2 linked regions of the Oryctolagus cuniculus genome follow. The protein of the gene in region 2 interacts with the protein of the main gene of each other region in a pairwise test. Links are inferred from orthologs where the notes say so. Each region holds a gene or a part of one and is shown on either strand. Other genes may lie near its edges.

Region 1 (2,688 bases), on a different chromosome or scaffold from region 2:
AGGCTGAGCTGCATTAATAAGCCACTTGGTTATACTTGGTTATGATGCAACAGCGGTCATTTCTGTGGTCACTGTGCTATCGTTAAATATCTAGTGACCACCTACAGGATCTGGGAAATGAGAATGGTGCCTCTAGTGGCAGGATTTGGTATCAACCAGGGAGACAACCTTTGCCTGTGCAGCTAGTTTTTGCCAAAGCAAGCGAGGGTCTCAGGGAAACAGAGGGCTTCTTCCAGGCCACCGTGGGGTTGAGGCAGACCTCCACCTGCAGAGTTCTCATCGCAAGACCTTTCCAGGTGAACTGTTACTTGAACGTCAGATTCTAGGAGAGCACACTAAGTCACGGAGGCAGTGACCATCAAAGACTCCCTGCTGGTGACTGGATCTGTCACTTCCCAGGAGGTTCCCATTCATCTTTCACAAAACAAGCGAATGCCTACTTTATCGTTCACACATGCAGAAGTGCACACACACAGCACCCAGACTTCTTGGAAGGAAAATAAACTTTCGGTTTACTCATCAAAAACAGCAAGTAACAAAAACCCTCATCAGTTAAATAAAAAAGTGACATTCTTTATTTTATCAGACCTCCTTAGACATTACATTGCATTCGTCTGCATGGTCATGTTCTTCAGGAAGATCCTTTGTTCCCTTCTGCCCTCCCACCCCCTCAATTACGTTGATGGGCTCATCTCCAAAATGAAGATTTAAAAAAATCTTCCTTAATGCCATTTTTTAAATTGACCAATCCAGATTTTTTTCTTTGTCTCTTACATATTAAACTTAGATGTCCCATGTGGAGATTTCATCAGCACATTTTCAAAACAAATCGAAAGTTAAGCCCTAAGTAAGCGTTTCAAGGCCGAGACGTGCCATTGTATTTCTGGGAATTTAAGAATCACCGTGTTGCACCAAAAAAGCAGGATTCAGTTCCAGAAGCAAATTCTTATCCTGGGCTTTATCATGAAGTCTAACATAGTTCATTTCCACAGTAATGACTTCACACAAGCAGTGTTCTGTTCTTCTGAAGGTTCACTTGGACTGCCTCAGCCTTAATTCCTGAAAGTCAATGACACCATCTTTAATCAAAGAGCCAGGGTAGACTAGAAAGTGGAGCAATGCCAGCAAGAGAAAATTCTTGGCTTCTAAAAAGGAAAACGTTGTAAGGAATAAAAACGAATCAAATCACGTAACTTTGTACATGCTGGAAATAGCCAATGTGCCACCAACACAATTTTCAAAAAAATGTCTGAAGGTTTGGATCCATGTACACAGTCTCCCCTGTCTGTGTAGCTACCTTTGCTACTAACCACACATCTTTCCCATATCTGCTATTCATTACGAAACTTTTAACCAGAATTTTTGGCAATAAGCTTCTTATTAAATAAAACAAGCCTCATAAAAGCATTATCATTGACGTCGGAAAACTGAATTGGGAGTCTTTCTGAAATATGTGTCATCTTCAAAGAATTGCCTTTTCCTTCATAAATCAGCAGTGCTCCATCTTTAAACAAATCACGACCCGGTACAATCTTCACTCACACGTTCAAATGTTCTCTTCGTCCAACATCTTGTTGATGCCATCACAAAGTTTCTGTAAGTGGGGTTTGAAATTTCCGAAAGGATTATACAAGGCAGCCAAGAAATCACAATCTGAGAAATGGTCAAAGACATTATTAACGCGTCCGTGCGACTTGGCGGTGAGGTGACGCTGAATGATCTGGTGCAGCAGCTCTCTGCACTCGTTCAGCAGCCTGGACAGCACGTTCCGGTCGAAGGTGTAGTCCACCTGGTGGAAGCTGACCACCGTCATGGCCAGCTGGTGGACCTTCTTCTTGAACTTCTCCATGAGGGCCAGCTCGTCCTGGTTAAACTGGTTGTTCCTGTAGAGAATGGCCAGCTTGATGACAGTCTTGATGAGGTCCTTGATGATCTTCTCGGCCTCCTTCTTGCTCTGGGTGTACTCCCGGGTCACCCTGTACAGCTCGTCCAGCACCTCGCTGCTTGTGTCATCTATCAAGGTGGTGGCGATGGACTTGGACACCATCTTCCCCAAGATCTTCTTTTGCGCCTGAACGGCCAGGTTTTTGGAGTTGAAGACATCTGTGGCCACTGCAAAAGAGAAAAAAAAGGAGTGGGGGGGGAGACCATTACATATCGCAAGAGAAGCAAATTTTAAAACAGTTATTATCAGGGAGTACTTTTCCCCTCTCATTTCCCCATTATTTGTGGCTTGTCTCCCACTACTTTCCACATTTCCAGGCACTGTGGAATCGTTCAGGTGAACGATCTTTAAGGTCTTTGGCAATTCAATTACCTTCTGTTATACAGTTAATACCTTCTTTAGAAGTTCAAGGTTATAATGTCTTTAAAAAACAATTTTCACCTTTATAAAACAGTATGTCTCATCAGACACTAAGATTTTACGCCATTTTCCCTAGTCAACTTTATTAAAAAAAAAAAATGCATTGAGAAGATCAAGTCTATACTGGTCCACTGGGCAATGAACAGCAAGGGAAGCAACAGAAAGAACCCCACCTAAATCAAGAAGGAGAAGTGGCAAAGCAATGGCAATGAGTAAAAATGGCAAATTCATGGAAGCAAATCAAAGGGGAGCCCTGTTTCACAACCCAGTTATAAAAAGGCAGATTTCCCAAGACGCTGGCCAGCACACTCCAGCTGTGCTGC
Region 2 (3,650 bases):
GATAGTGATATTCAGCAGCTACAAAAACAACTAAAGGAAGCTGAACAAATACTGGTAAGATGTCAGAAGTTGGTTGTTAAGGTGAAAAAGGATGTTGTTTGTGTTTCTGCAAAGTGGGTCTATTATCAGTATTTTGAAGAGTAGAAAAACCTTCCAAGATGAAAAATAATATTCTGTCAGTAAGGTATAGGCCCTTGTCACCTTCCTTCCCCCACTTTTCTGGCATATTTTTAGATAGTCTTCATTATTTTTGAACCTCACTAATGTTTTAAGCAATAATGTAAAACCTTGGCTTTTAAACTTTTGAAATCAGTAAAAATAATAATGATTTTATAAATTGATTAAAGTAGAGTATATTTAGCCTTCCATCCTAATCTGTGTGGGGTTTAGGTCTATGCTGAGAACTCTGGTTTTGCCTTTGTTGTGGGCTGCTGTTTTCGCTGTACTGACGAGTGTGATTATCGTGCGGTGGTACTGCAGCAGTGGCTGAGCTCGATTCCTGTATAGACCGGATGCTGCTAGTCCACTCCTTGTCCCTGATGGACAGGTCCTTGACCCTGATGGACCTCTGGAAAATGTGTGAGTGGCTTCTAGTAATCAGAAGCCTGAGCCGCTCAGGGGAAATGAACCACCCTCCTGAAGAAACAACCCCAAGTAAATGCTTCTGAAAAAAGATATTTTTATTAAGATATGTTTTTCCTTTTGAAAGTAGTATTTACTTATCAAAATCAATTTGGAAAAAATTGCCTCTAGTCCCACTGCCCCAAGCATGCTAGTCTTCACAGTTTGGTTTATTTCCTTTGAATCTCAGTGTACTCATTTTGTACCTTATTGTTATTATAGTACTACTCTTTATTAAAACATGAGCATTTTCTGTGTAGCTTTATCTTGTTTGTTTGATTTTTCAAGTGTTACAAATAATGGGTTACTGAACGTCCTTGAGGAACCATTTTTTCTTCTTCTGCATTTTGGGTTATATTCTTAAGATTTCCAGAATTATTGAATTAAAGACTGAACATGAGAATCCTGAGAGTGAATTTTATGGTTTGGACAGCGGCAACTGGTGCTGATTAAGCATTTGGGCCCTAGACCCTGATCTTTGCACTTGTTTTTTATATGCATTATTTCTGTCTTCAGACAGTTTATAAAGTGCCATTATTCAGGTGAAGAAATCAGTGCTTTAAATAACTAACTCCCAAGGAGGCTAAAAACAGAGAGATGGCTCTCAAACCTAGATCTTCTGTTGCCATACTTTTAACCACCTTGCTGTAGTTGAGGATACACCTCTACAAGGTCACTTTATTTTACCCTTTAGTGTGCTGTGGCAGGTCAGAGGAATGTTTTCATGGTAACAGTCATTAAGTACTGAGGTGATATATAAGTGAATTTCAATCCAGGAATGTATCTTACTCCTTTTTTCTAACAGGGAGCTTTAAGGTATTTTATTCTTGAGCTAGATGCAAGAATAGGATGTTTTGGGGGTGGTAAGTAGTCTGGATCTAAAGTAAAGGATCCAGTTAAAACTGTGTTTCTAACAATTGTGGGTGAATGACAGACTAGTTGGTGAGTCTGTTTCTTTCATGAAATACATCGAGTGTTTCAGAACACTGTAACAATAGTTTGTAACTTTGCAGATAAATTATGGGGGTTCTGAGCTTGCACATTATTCCTTTGAGATAAGTCATGCTGTGAATTATGCCAAAAATTGCTTGATAAAGTTGAAAATAAACTGTATTTCTTTGTTTAATGTTGTTTTAATTAGGCAACAGCTGTTTACCAAGCAAAAGAAAAACTCAAGTCAATAGAAAAAGCAAGAAAAGGTTAGTACTGTGGGAAGACTGGATGACCTGAAAAACCCAAGTTCTGGTCTGAAGCATCTGAAAAGAATGTTCCTGGTAATCATTTGCTGCTGTTGAAAGATCCTAATAAATTTTCATTGTAAAGAGTATTATGTTCTAGCCTCGTGATGGGCATTGTTAGGGAGGCGGAAGTGTTACATGCTTTTTCCAGATTATCAGAAGCAGTAACAGAGGGCAACTTCAGCTCTCTACTTGAGTGTGCAGTAAAGACAGTGGGTTTGTAAAGCTGTTCAGAGAAGGGAGAAGTGTGAGCTGGAAGCAAGTGGGATTTCAACTGGATCTTGAAGTCTAGGACAGAATGAAAGAGAATGTCCTTTGGACAGCTACACTTGTTCTACACTTGGTTGAGCATGATGGAATCAAAGCTGGATGGAGCTTCTGGGTGCAGGCACCTTTAGCAGGCAGAACCCCAGCCTGCCTTCCTGCACAGCTCTCCCCCTTTAAAGGGCTTCAATTATGGATCTTGCTGCTTCATTTAGTTTGCATACTGGAAATAGGAATTGTAATTAACTGGTTACTTGTCTCTAGTAATTTGTAGATATGATTTACATTTAGTCATTTTGGATTTGTCTAACTTTTCTTTTCCTGTTCCTTTGGGAACCTGTGTTTACATGATTACATATGAAGAGCAGTGAATATCTTCTCAGAGATGGGCTAGGCTTCTGTAGCAGGAAACAGATCTCTATGAAATGTGATGGTATGGCCATCTGAAATCTGGACCATGTTTTTGTTGAGTCTTCAAAAGTTCTACATACAGAAACATGTTACCTTGTTACATTAAAGCAGTGTCTAAAGTTTATAGTGAGCCTCATTTCTCAGAGATAACTATTCTTAGTGTTTGGTTAGTGTGTCCTAGGTTTTTTTTCTAGATCTGTGAGTATGTATATAATAAAAATATGAATACACATGTGCCTATATTTTCCAAAAAAAACCATGCTGTTTAGCAGCTTATTCTGCCTCCCCCTAAGGAACACATTGTAGATGTCTTTCTGTTTGGATCTGTTTGGAGTGGGATACATTCAGCAGGAAATGATTTGTTCTGGCCCTAACAAGACAGCTGCAGATGGGACTCAAATTCAATATATCTATGGCAGGCTAATTTTTAAGTAGATAATTTTGTGTAAATATCCAAAAGGCCCTTGGCAGAAAAAAAGTTCCCCACCCCAATAGAACCTTAGGTCAAGTTAATTAGGCAGAGTGGTGTGAACCTTCTGCTCCAATTTCATAGCTTGGATATTGTTGCAAGATAAAGTACTGTTTCACTATTTTATTTGCATTCACTGTTGATTTTAGAAGAGTAGTATCTGGTGGTAGTTAATCATGGACTATTGAGTATTAACATGCTGTTCTCTCAAATTTGTTTCTTTATGCCAGATGATTTTTTGGAACAAGCATCTTCTATAGTTTGGAAATAAAAAATTTAGCTTTATATATGCGAAATATATATGTGTTGTTATGGAAGGTGGATAACTGGGATTATTTTCAAATAACTTTCTGATACTTCCAGATAATTTAAAATCAAGTGTGATGTGTAACCGTGTTTATGCAGTTCCAAACTTACTATAATGTTACCCTGTCCCCTGAACTCTCTCAGGTGCTATTTCCTCTGAAGAAATAATCAAGTATGCACATAGGATTAGTGCAAGTAATGCTGTGTGTGCCCCACTGACTTGGGTTCCAGGTAAAAATACTTTTTTGTACTATTTCTATGTGATTTCAAACATCATTAGCTGACTATATAAAAAGAATACATTTAGGTATAGAACACGCTTATTCTGAGAAACGTCTGTT

What was found.
Region 1: the proteins of MED4 (region 2) and TNFAIP8 interact in binary tests that used the Homo sapiens proteins (3 or more experiments, as listed by UniProt). The two-hybrid records come from large-scale screens. The link is inferred for Oryctolagus cuniculus from reciprocal best matches to the Homo sapiens genes MED4 and TNFAIP8.

The regions. Positions count from the first base shown.
Region 1 is NC_091437.1:9,305,863-9,308,550, reverse strand, and holds the end of TNFAIP8 (tumor necrosis factor alpha-induced protein 8), read right to left. Parts: intron 2,113-2,688; coding exon 1,547-2,112; 3' UTR 553-1,546; downstream 1-552. UniProt on the Homo sapiens protein: Acts as a negative mediator of apoptosis and may play a role in tumor progression.
Region 2 is NC_091440.1:67,114,949-67,118,598, reverse strand, and holds part of MED4 (mediator of RNA polymerase II transcription subunit 4), read left to right. Parts: coding exon 1-54; intron 55-1,762; coding exon 1,763-1,820; intron 1,821-3,453; coding exon 3,454-3,540; intron 3,541-3,650. UniProt on the Homo sapiens protein: Component of the Mediator complex, a coactivator involved in the regulated transcription of nearly all RNA polymerase II-dependent genes.